Linked DNA regions of Caenorhabditis elegans. The protein of the gene in region 2 interacts with the protein of the main gene of each other region in a biochemical or structural test. Each region holds a gene or a part of one and is shown on either strand. Other genes may lie near its edges.

Region 1 (7,142 bases), on a different chromosome or scaffold from region 2:
CCGGTCTCACCACGAACATTGTTTCTTAAATGCAAAAAAGGTGTGCGCCTTTTGAGGGTACTGTAATTTCAAACTTTCGTTCCAGCGGAATTTTCAACGATTTTTAATATATTTTTTTAGATAAGATTATTTTTCATTTAAAAAACCTGAAGTAAAACCCACGTTTACCAAATTGTTTGGCATTACAGTACTCTTTAAAGGCTCGCACACTTTTGTATTTAAAAAACTTTGTCGTCTCAAGACCGGATACCGTACTTCTTGAACAAAGATCGAAAAGTTTCGCGTCTGGGTAGTTATTCAAAAACTTTAGTCAAGTCAACCTGTCGATTCAACGGTGACGATGATCTCTGTTCGTGCCATAAAACAAATGTTGTCAGGCCAAGTTGATTACCGTTACAAAGCGGATACAATGCAAATGGGTCGATTCATCAGTTTGGATAACTTGAAAGATCAAAAGTTTGATCCCAGCCAGCATATTGCTATTGAGAAAATCATCGTCAATGGCCTAAGTAAGAATATGTGAGTGTTAGGAAGCCGTTTGAAATACTTAACAATTTGCTTTTTAGAAATCAAGATTTCCAAACTTGCTTCAAATCGTGGCCTAAAGAATTGATTGCTGATCATGGTATCTATGTTTCTGAACCACTCGGAGGACAACTAACCCAGTGGGCACGAATGTATTTCGAACCGGATCAATTGGGCGAAGCAATTTAATTTGATGGATTTATGTTTTGTGAATAAAATGACTGAAAAATGAATTCGTTGGATTGAATTGTGTACAATTTTCGTTCAAAACAATACCTTTCAATTTTTGCGCAAGAATACGTTACATGGTCTCGATACGACAAATTTTCGAGCGTTGAAAAAGTACTGTAATTTCAAAATTTTTTTGCTGCCGAATTTTCATTTATTTTTCATAATATAACATTTCTTCCGATTTGATAAAATTTAACTATTAATAAATAGAAAGTGTTTTTTTAATCGAATGAAAAATTCCGCAGTAACGAAAGTTTGGAATTACAGTCCTCGGTTAAAGGCGCGTACCATTTGCATTTAAGGAAAACCGGGCACAGTTCTTTTAGCTCAACAACCCGCAAAAGTTGCGTATGGTTAATAAAATGAAATTTTTGAAGAACCAACAATTGGTAATTCGATGTTTCTAGATCGCCATGCTTGACTTGTACTCAACTTTTGACCAATTTTTTATTCCCAAAAAACGTTGGTTGGGCTATAGAAAGCATTTCTCTATAGAGGAAATAAATTAATCACAGACGAGAAAGGACTAATCCAGGTTTAAAAAAATATAGGAATTACAATGTAAATGGGTAGAAGGTTGGCAATAATTTAGATATATAATGCATTGTTTTTCATAGGCATGGTAATACAAAGTCACTCAAATAGCATCGCTAGGCGGTTGAGGAAGGACCATATTGTAGAAATGATCTTTGCTCCAGAAGCTCGCTGGTTTCCATGCACACCATCCTTTTGAAGTGATTGTTTTGATATCTTCGGAGCCAGTGTAATGAGGATCAAGAACGAGGAATCTGGAAATTATTGTGTTGCTATACTTCCAATTTGAAAAAAAAAAACTCACTTAGTCTCTCCAGTGGTATCATTGAAATCGACTCCAAGAATAGTATGTGCAAGCATATTTCCTCCGATCATAACAGGAGTTCCAGATGTTTCAAAATGTCGAGCAAGTTCACGAACTCTTTCGACAACTTCTGCGCCCGAGTTGGTAGCGATGAAACGGCATTCTAACTCTGAAATGTTTAACTATTAAATACAATTACTCAACAACTACTTACTGAGTAGCTCATTGAGCACAAAACTGATTTCAGTACTACCAATCCACTGTCGTGAACCAACAAACTTCGCTTGCTTGTCTTGAATATCAACAAGCGCCTGCAACAAATAAAACAACTTCAATTGAAATCTGCTTAAGCCAACCTGCTGAATTTCCCGATGACTTGGCACAGGTTTATCAGTATATCCATTCAAAATGAACCAACTCCAGATAGTTTGGAAACTACGATATGCACATCCCCATCCACTATCATCAATTCCATCTTGCATGTAATGATGATAATTGTACGGCCCATTTACAGTGGTTATTTCACCAACTGGTTGATCTGAAAATTAATTCTGAGTCTTTGCTTGTTTAGACCCAAAATTGCCAAAAACTTCCGCATTTCGTTATGAAACGTTCTGAAAATTTCTCAAAAGAAAAAGTTAATGCGGTTTTTTTTTCAGCTAAAATCTCGAATTTTGACAACTTGATGATTCAAACTTCCGCAATTTCCGGGTCTGTCAAGTTGGCAAAATTTGATGTCTCATTACGAAATTCTGTAGTTTTGGGTCCAACAAAGCAATGCCTCAAATTTCGGTACTCCATTTTTAAACATACAATTTGTTATAGACAAATGTGGCTCTCGAATGAGCTTCTTGTTGGTCAAACGAGCACTCTCTGAGTGGAGAGCCAACGCTTGAGACAATCGAAGAACTGGCTTAGATGATGGCAAGTTGAACAACTTGTGAAGACGAATACGGTAATTTCCTAGAAAATTGAATTTTTATAGAAGTTGAAACGCTTTCTATGAATACTTTGTTCATTGTCCGTCCATTTAGTTGGAAGTTGGAGATGAAGTAGAGAAACCCATCCAGGTGGAAGATAAGTTGCAGATGTGGTCGTTGTTACTCCGCGCTGCAAGATATCAATCGATATAAAAAATATTACATTTCAATTTTTACCCCAGCTCTTATTCCATTGACTGTAACCATCATTGTATTGTTAGCTCTTCTATTGAATGCCTCACGTGATCGTTTGTACAAATCCAGTGAAGAATCTCCAAAGAACGCTGGGAAAACTACCTCACCAATTGTGACGAGCCGAGTGAAATGTTTGTTATCTAAATTACGAATTTAATATCTTTATAAAATAACAAAATTCTTTACCCTTGGTAACCTTAACTGTTGGAACCAGCTTTTGATCTTCCGTATCATTAGATGTATCCCTAGTGAGAGATTGCATGGCAGTGAATTCGATAACATCCTGAAATTCCGTCAATCATATTAATTTTAGACAGTATTTCCAAACCTTATATGGTACAGCGCCTTTCGAGAATTTATCAAGATACTTCTGTTGAGCAGCTTCTGGCTTCTGCTCACGGATCACCAACCCGTGTTCAGCGTTTAGATATGTGAAACGAAAAGAAGCCATTGAAAGACGTTCGGCAGCAGATTTGACATCTTCTTGTTCACGACCTGCTCGAAGTGACCACTCGTATCCAACCTGAAACGGACCGTTTTTATTCAATAATTTAAAGATCTTATGGGAACGTACTCTGCTGACACAACTAGCTCCTTCCATAAGAACATGTTCATTGTTGAACATCACATTCATATCCAAAAATTCGCTGATACTTCGATTTTCAAGCATTCGAGATGTCAGCTGAAGGGTGAACTGCCCGCCAGGAAGAATCTGTGATTGTCCATCAATATTCAAGTTTCCAACCAGTTCAATATCTGAATTAAATCTCAGTTTTTAATAATATTATTCCATTAATTACCAGCAGACAGAGAGCTCTCCAAGAATTGTCTGTTCGATTCAGTCAGATCTTCAGCGTAGGCGAATAGCACATGGATAACCTGTTTCCGAGCTTTACGTCCGAAAACGAATCCGCCAATTGTCGTATTAATTTCGTTGGCATTGGATTTGGAGAACGAGCGGAGGTTGGCGTAATTCTTAAAATATTTCGTGTGAAATCTTTTATCTCGCAAGACTGATTTTGGAGTGTTTTCAGATTTTATTTCGTTTTTTTCCGTTTTTCAACTAGTATAGAAAATCGAATAATTTCAGCACTTCTTAAAACTTTCATAGCTCATTTCCACATAAATTACCTGAAACATTGCCTGCGCATCAATAAACCACAATTCATTCACAGGAGGTGGAGGTGTTGATTGTGGAGCCATCTGAGTTGGTCCAATTAGTGAGACAGTTTGAGAATTCGTCATTCTTCTTCTCTTCCAATCACCTTTCAAAAGATAATAATAGTTTATGGATATTACCACGAATCACGAGAGAATAATATTGAAATGTGTCATTTATACGACCAGCGAGCTGAATATGGGGACTTGTAGAAGGGGATTTTGCAATAGAGAGATGAATAATTTAAATTATTTGTGTATTTTACAAAGAAAACGAGAATAAATCAATCGATAAACGGAAGAAGCGGGTGGGACTAATAAATAAATTGCAATTTGTTTGGGCATTTAACAGAAAAGGATAGTTTAGAAAAAAATGGGAGAAGAAAAATTTTGTTTCAATTCTCAACCTATCTACACCCTAGAAATCGTATCACATTACAAGAAAAAGCGATTAAAAGTCCAATAATTAGACATAAACATTTTAGGAAAGAACAAAATAACGATGAAAACGCCTGTAGATCGAATGTAGACGGCTGCTATGCTGTTGTGCCCGCTTCAATCAATGAGTTGTTCTGAAAAGATATACGAGTTAGTGGGTTGGTTGTCATGGGTAACTTGTGCGGAGCAGGTGATACCAGAAAAGCTAATAACGAGAGAAGACGGGAGAAGCACGAAAATGAGATTAGGTTTGCTATTATTTCATTCTTTGAATGGGGAGTTGGTAATTCGCGTAATTTCTCATCCCTGTGGTACGGTTTTTCCTTCTTTTTTTTTGAATAAAAATATTATGTATCTAATTCAATTCCCATAAGATTGTGAGAATACTTCGTTTTTACAACAAATCTAACATGAAATTTCCTCATAATCGTATGAGAATTGAATTAGGTAACATTTTCATTAGAAAAAATAGTGAAACCAGTAAAATTGAGAACTTATCGAAAAAAAACCACCAAAAAACGGTGGAAAACAATGCCACAGGCTTGCAAAACTACGCGCTGCCTCTCTCTGTGCGACCTTGATTTTGCAAAATTCACGTTTAATTTCATCGTTTAATTTCAACATTCCCAAAACTAAATTTTAAACAAAAATTTCCAACCTACCAACGAGACTCTATGAATGTGCTAACACGATTGAAGATAGCACGTCCTCCACGATAAGCCAAATATCCCAAAGATCCCCAGACAACAATACGGACGCCAGTGGAGAAAACCTGGAAATAAAGAAATGAAAGAATTAAAATAACTTCAGATTAATTTACCTTTGTTCCGAGGCTTGGTGGTGGGATGTTCATAAGTGGATCAAAATCAATATTTGTATTCCATTTGTTAACAATTCCTGGAGTATGTCCGATTCCAACGACAGCAACAACTGTCAACGGTTGAAATTGTTGCCCAGTTGTTCCACGAAGCCATTGTGCACGTTTTTCGACTGAGTTCCGGTGTACGAGCATATGCAAAGCATGCGTCATGTAGGCATCACGCTCTTCCACAAAGATTTGGGATAGTTGTGGGAAATCATCAGCCATCTCGGCGAGAAGTTGCTCCAGAAGGTCACGTTGCTTGCATCGTTCCACCTATAATTTTGGAATATTTTTGGAAAAGGTTGAATAATTAAATACCTCTTCTGCAGTTATCTTCTCACGATGTGAAAATGCAACGTGGAAGAAGAAGCGAATTTTTTGCCAGATGGAGAGAGAAGCCAGTGCACGTTGAAGTGTAACTTGAATAGGACGATCACCGAGAACTACACGACAATTCTGAAATAGTTACTTTGTAAATAAAACTTTTTAAATACTCAAACCTCAGTTGCAACTGCTGCACGATGAGCAGCACGGAATTCTCCTCCGGGAGCCATGGAAAGTTCACGTGTTACATGCGCTGACATTGACAGGAGAAGAACGTGCAGAATTCCTTGAATCGCGCCGTTCTTAAAAAAGTTGAAAATATTACAACATTACAACAACAAAAATATGAGAACTCACTTGTTTCATGGTCTGAATAATTTTTTGAGAGTTGAGATCTTTCGCTTCGCTCAAAAGCCGAGCCTCATCCATCGATATGATTGAAATTCGTGATGGACACAGCTCAAGCATGACAAAATCAGGTTGCACAGCACGAATTGTGTTGGATACGTCTTCCTGCGACTCTTTTGAAAAGTGAGCTGTACCGATGAGATAAATGGTGGAGTCGAGAATCGCTTTCTTCCATTCTTCATCAGAATCGCTCAGCACGGGGTTGCGTGGAGGAATCGCCAGATTTGTAGGCCATTTGAGCACTGTTACTGTAATTATAGAATATAGATATCAGTGTTACATCGAACTGGAGTTTTAAGAAACCTGTATTGGCATTTGGGACGAAGTCATCTGCTCTTTTCCTTCCGAAATGGTACCCTCCACAAACAGGATTGTTCACCACTGCACCATCTTCTGTTGCTTCAGGAGCTTGTTCCAGCTCATAATCCAACTCGGCATCATCTCCAACATGCTCATCAAAATTTGAAGTCGAATCTGCGAGTGATATGATGGACTGCTCGGCTGTCTCACTTGCACCACCAACAACTGAAACTAAAAAAATATTAAATATTTTAAAAATAATTATCTTTCCAAACAACTTCAAGCGATGAAAAAAAACTTACGTCCTTTTTTCGAATTGATTGTCAGAGAACGCATCCGGAATAGATCCTGAACATGGAGATTGTTAATAATTTTTACAAATGTAATATTTCAGCATACCTCTTCAGTCAATTGATCTTCCGATGGTGGTGGCACGTCATTAGGGTCTGGAAACTCAGTTCCATCTGGATTCAAGTTTGACGATGACTCTGACATCTGAAAACCTTATTTTGGATATAACTTGAAATTATAACATGTTTTATTTCATACAATCGCGTACAAAGCGGAGCTTACAAAGCTGAAAAACAATTAAAATGAATCCAAATCACTCCAGGTTTCCATTTTAAGTTACAAGAAAAAAAAACAAAAAAGACCAGCGAAGCGCGTTTGCATTGTGTCTCCGTCTCCATAATTTATGTTGTGACTCGGTTAAAACCGCGCCGCACTCGACATTTTGCAACCATGGCACGATTTCTTCTTTCGTAAATCCCCCGCAATTATTTTCAGTAGTTTTTCAGCTTTATTTCTCAGATTATGTCCCTTTTTCTTCTCTTTCGTTGCTGAAAATCTTTTATGAACAACTGTGGTCACGCGATTTAAAAAG
Region 2 (5,179 bases):
GATCTGAAATATGAATTCTTAAATCTTTGAATTGAAAGCATAGGTGTTTTTGGTAAAACTTAAACTTTTGACAAATAAATTAAAAAATAATTGGCAGCGTCTCGCATGCAATTGTTCTATTTACACAACGAGAAACTTGTAAAGAAAATGCGGTATCTATATAAATGTTTGAATCTTGTGTATTATGGGACGCATTTTTTATTTATTACGCTCTCTCGGAGACGTGATTTTAAAACTAAATGTTTCTTTTTCTAGTTTTTACCTGTCCATTTGGCATTGGCTCAGCGCCTTTCTTAAATCCAAGGTAGACCACAAACGGCACGAATCCCCATTGGATTGCAAATGTGGAAATATCGACTGTCTTACCGATGAAAGACTTGGTAGCTGGGGAGAGCTTCATCTTAAATAAAATAATATAAGACTAAAAGTAAAGTAGTTTTAAAAAAGTAAGATAAAATGCGGAAGAGCAACCAGTATTGATAAATTGATTGAACAAGTTTGAGAAAAAAGCTTCATAGCGTACTTTGGAAAGGGGAATTTCAATAAATTAATATTTAGAAGAATTTAGATATTCAAATCTGACTTAGCGAGTTTAGGATAGAAATGCACAGAGACATCACATTTTGTAAAAATAATTATGTCATAATACAGGAATGTAGACAACAATTGGCTTATGCTCAATGGCCGACGCGATCACGTGGAATCAGACGAAGTTCACTTCCGTGCTTCAAAAAAATGTTTCCGGCAGGTTGAGCTGGATTGACGCCAACTCCGTCGTTCGTAATGATTGCTGATGTAGCCGCAGGGACCTTGAATTCTTCAGCGGCAAACTTGAGAACGGCGGTGAATGGGGTACTTTCCGGCACGGAGAGGCTGAAAAATTAATGCATGACGCAAAACTCCAAATCAAAAGTAAACCGAAAATTTAAATATAAAAACTTACACCTTGAATGGGAGCTTCGGATCACTTGTTAGAGTGATTTTGAAGGTCACCTTGGAACCGGCAGTTGTTGCTGCTGTTCCACCCGACATTCCTGAAAATCTCTCGCATAAAATCAATAATAATCGTCCAGTTTGTTTGAAAAATTGTTTTTTAAAAAGTCGAACAAATTGATAAAGAAAAGGACATAACAGAAATGCACAAAATAACCTGAAAAACTGAAAAACAATAGGAGAGAAAAACTGGAAAAATGCCAAGTGTCTCTTACAAAACTCGGCCACTTGACGGAACCTAGGCCAGTGATGGCGTGATCAAGAACTATAATATAATTCAATTATTTTTCATATGTTAAAGTTCGAGTGAAATTTAAATGAAGATTGTAGTTCGAACGCTAGTATTTAGTGTACAAATACCACAAAAACGAGAAATACGTCTCTTCAAAATTCATTATGGAGTGATGGCCTAGGAATCTCCACGGGAAAATGCGGTAGAATATTTCTTGCAAGAACTTTCAGAGTATCGTGATTTTTATCACTTAATTTATCATTCAACTTCGCAATTAAGTTCTCAAAATTTTCTCATCTTTTGTCCGAATTAAAACTCATTTATTTTCAGAATGAAAGGAGCAACAAACTTATTTAAAAGCATGAGAAAACCTACGAACGTTGGAAATTTCCGGCAGTTTTCGGTGAATCAAGTCAATTCAGATAATAAACGGTCAGAGCCCGGAAAGAAAACACATTTTGGATTCACTGACGTTGATGAGGCAGAGAAGGAGCAGAAAGGTTAGCTGTTCGATTCAGAAACGTAAAAAAGCTGATAGCCACAAATAATAATCACAAAGTTCTCTACATAAAATAAGCCCTTTTCCAACACATCTATATAATTTACTGATACTATATGTCTTTTTTTAGTTCACCACGTCTTCGCAAACGTCGCGAAAAAGTACGATTTGATGAATGATGCAATGAGCATGGGAGTTCACCGATTATGGAAAGACTATTATGTTGGTGGCCTGCAAGTACCGTATAATGCGAAATGTCTGGATATGGCAGGAGGAACCGGGGATATCGCTTTCAGAATTCTCAGACATTCGCCTACCGCAAAAGTGACAGTTTCCGATATTAATCAACCAATGCTCGATGTTGGAAAAAAACGAGCGGAGAAGGAGAGAGATGTAATTGTTTTTGAAAAAATTCCATATCCTTAATGTATTACTTCAGATCCAACCATCTCGCGCGGAATGGGTATGCGCTAACGCCGAGCAAATGCCATTTGAGTCGAACACTTACGATCTGTTCACAATGTCCTTCGGAATCAGAAATTGTACACACCCTGAAAAGGTTGTTCGTGAAGCTTTTCGTGTACTCAAACCTGGAGGTCAACTTGCTATTTTGGAGTTCTCAGAAGTGAATTCTGCACTGAAACCAATTTACGATGCATACTCCTTCAATGTGATCCCGGTTCTTGGAGAAATTCTTGCCAGTGATCGTGCCAGTTATCAATATTTGGTTGAGAGTATTCGTAAATTCCCGAATCAAGACGAGTTTGCAAGAATAATTAGAGAAGAAGGCTTTAGTAATGTTCGATACGAGAATTTGACATTTGGAGTGTGCTCGATTCATAAGGGGATGAAACCAAGAAAATAATTTATTCCTGTTTGTTTGTTCTTTTTAAAATTTCATTTAATTCCATTTTTCTAGGTGATATTCAGTATTTTTCGTGTAGAATTTTTGCATAAATTTAATTAAAGTTGTTATATTTGTATTTCCTGACATCTATGATTCCGTGGTTTATTCCCGTTGTTACTCAAAAAATCTGAAAAAATTCATGTTTATTCCAACAATTTCAGATATGAAACTTCGAAGTGCTATTCAGCACAGTGTAAGAAACTTTTCCGCTGGGAAAGTCTTACTGTCAAGGTAATTTATAGATGATTTCAGACTCGATAATCATCATTTTTAAGATTCAGAAGCGCCACAACGCCAATATTGAAAGAAATTGGACTTCTCTTGCCATCAACTAATAAACCAACATTTGAAGCTGGACAAGTTGGTTGACTCAATCCAGTTATTTTGCAAAAATATTAAATTGCAGATTTTCATTCACAAAACATTTGCTTACAAAGGAGTCGTTGTTTGCTCTTTTCCATGTAGATTACATGAAAAAAGAAGTCAACAAAAGTAAGTAGCAATAAATTTCTGCTATTCTGATTTTAAATTTTTTTTTAGCGAAAAGCATCTTCTTACGCGTGATTTCTACCAAGTTCTCATTCATCGCTATGACTGGAGTCATATGGGATTCCCAGTAGATATTACATCGTATTTGGTAGATGCACCAATGGAGAATAAAAGACACGGACAAAAAATGTTGACTCTAATCAAGTACGGTGATTTTTGTAAATGAGATAATTAAAAAATATTATTGATTGGAACAATCCTCAACACCAACACCTTTTTTGAAAGCGACAAAATCAGTTTTCTAAAAAATCAAAATAAAAATATGATTTCGTATATTTTAAAGAAATTTTTTCATAATAAAAACTCCTTCAATTCAAAAATTATTTTCAGTGGTATGGACTGTGTCTCACATGAAGATATTATCCCATTTACTCCATCCGGAGGTGTCAATTTTGACCACGATCTCTTCGACCACATTTTCAACGCATCTCACGATGGCATTGGACTTTATGATATTGCAATGAAGCCAGAACTTGTTGAAAGATACACAAATCCAAACAGATCATGGCTTGGACCTCGTGACGTCTATCGGGAAAGAACTGAAAACATAGAAGTAACTGTGATGACTTTCTATCTTGGTGCCAATATGGTTGGTGGACAGCAGCAGCATATGTGGAGATATGTCATCAGGATCGAGAATAAAAAACCAGAAAACGGGGTGATTTTAAGAGAAAGAACACTCAAGGTATATTCATTAAACAATATGAATCAAATGCATGGACATGGTGTCGTGGGAAAGCAACCTGAATTGAACGCAGCAACTCCGGCTTTCCAATTCAGCAGTACACTTGAACTGAAACATACGAAAGGCGGACACATGTGGTAAGAAAAAAGTTTCGTTTATTTTGTCACGAATCATCACTATTTTTGAGGGGTCGTTTTAAAATGGAAAGGGAGAACGGCGTTCTTTTCGACGTTCACATTCCTACAATCGTTTTCGAGTCAACGGAAGAAATCAATGAAACTCCAATTGCAGCTCCGGACGCAGCTTAATCGATAAATAATTGTTTAAACGCTGACAGCAATGTACAAAAATTTTCTTCAGTTGTAGGAAAAATGACTATTGGTGTTTCTGGTGCCTTAACCCCTTGTTTGAACTTTAAATATTTTTGTGTATTTCCAGGTGAACTTAGATACAATCTTTCAATGAACTTTTTTTGATTTGTATGAATGTCAAAATTACTAACATAAGCAACAATTTTCATTGAAATTGAACCAGAACAATGTCCATGAATGGATAACAATGAATACAAGCCACTTAAGCCTTGACTGCGAACTTTCTGACGGCTTGATTGCGAGACTTAGCCTGTTGCTTGGCAGATCGGAGGGAAAGCTCGTGAGCGGTCAGTCTTCTGCGGATGGCGCGGGTCTTCTTGAGGCGAAGATCAATTGGCTTGTACTGAAAATAATTACACAAGTTATATATTTTTTTTAAATACACGGTTAACGAACCTTGTGGTCAGCGTAGAACTTGCGGAGCTCTTGCTTTTGGGTCTGGTTGATGACAGTCAAGAGTCTGGCGATGTTCTTGCGGACAACGCGAATCTTGGAGAGCTTAGAGGCAGCTCCTCCAGTGACCTTCGAGACACGGAGAGTGGCAAGCTCGGTCTTTTGCTCGTCGAGTTTCTTTTGAAGGGCATCCTTCTTCTCGCCGCGGAGAGACTTGCACTTCAGCTTGGTCATGACTACTGTGGTAACCCTGAATAATGAGATTGCTTAAAAATTATAAATTATTTGCAAAAAAATATTAAGAAAACAAGAGAATGGAAAAAATCTATTTTGAAATATATTAGAGCGGAAATATTTTCGACAGACTTGTTAAATAGAATTTTGATCGTTAAACGAGAAGCAACGTTAAATCAACAAAAATAATAACGAAACGGAAAAATTCGATTTTTGGCCTAAATTAAAAATGGTGTTCCGTGAACCGAATTTTCTGTTTTTTACATTAATATCGATCATTTTTTGGAATAAAAATTGTTTGGTATAAAAATATTCG

The links. Proteins that work in one complex are often made in the same cells at the same time.
Region 1: the proteins of ufm-1 (region 2) and odr-8 are reported together in a solved structure, tested with the Caenorhabditis elegans proteins (one study listed by BioGRID).

What each region holds. Positions count from the first base shown.
Region 1 is NC_003282.8:6,578,647-6,585,788, forward strand, and holds odr-8 (Ufm1-specific protease), read right to left. Parts: upstream 4,059-7,142; 5' UTR 4,015-4,058; coding exon 3,901-4,014; intron 3,745-3,900; coding exon 3,570-3,744; intron 3,526-3,569; coding exon 3,344-3,525; intron 3,293-3,343; coding exon 3,098-3,292; intron 3,053-3,097; coding exon 2,956-3,052; intron 2,910-2,955; coding exon 2,752-2,909; intron 2,705-2,751; coding exon 2,605-2,704; intron 2,558-2,604; coding exon 2,408-2,557; intron 2,133-2,407; coding exon 1,951-2,132; intron 1,906-1,950; coding exon 1,809-1,905; intron 1,764-1,808; coding exon 1,595-1,763; intron 1,545-1,594; coding exon 1,394-1,544; 3' UTR 1,190-1,393; downstream 1-1,189. Other genes in the region: C43G2.3 (uncharacterized protein), read left to right, coding at 311-519, 567-714; F38A5.2 (TraB domain-containing protein), read right to left, coding at 4,499-4,499, 5,028-5,137, 5,186-5,500, 5,546-5,683, 5,728-5,853, 5,909-6,207, 6,263-6,490, 6,562-6,607 and 1 more. UniProt on the Caenorhabditis elegans protein: Thiol protease which recognizes and hydrolyzes the peptide bond at the C-terminal Gly of ufm-1, a ubiquitin-like modifier protein bound to a number of target proteins.
Region 2 is NC_003281.10:7,854,834-7,860,012, reverse strand, and holds ufm-1 (Ubiquitin-fold modifier 1), read right to left. Parts: upstream 1,035-5,179; 5' UTR 1,033-1,034; coding exon 944-1,032; intron 874-943; coding exon 678-873; 3' UTR 501-677; downstream 1-500. Other genes in the region: tomm-7 (Mitochondrial import receptor subunit TOM7 homolog), read right to left, coding at 1-3, 263-400; coq-5 (2-methoxy-6-polyprenyl-1,4-benzoquinol methylase, mitochondrial), read left to right, coding at 1,557-1,725, 1,855-2,117, 2,164-2,589; tag-307 (ApaG domain-containing protein), read left to right, coding at 2,771-2,862, 2,907-2,991, 3,038-3,123, 3,172-3,324, 3,511-4,002, 4,053-4,173; rpl-35 (Large ribosomal subunit protein uL29), read right to left, coding at 4,439-4,579, 4,633-4,863. UniProt on the Caenorhabditis elegans protein: Ubiquitin-like modifier which can be covalently attached via an isopeptide bond to substrate proteins as a monomer or a lysine-linked polymer.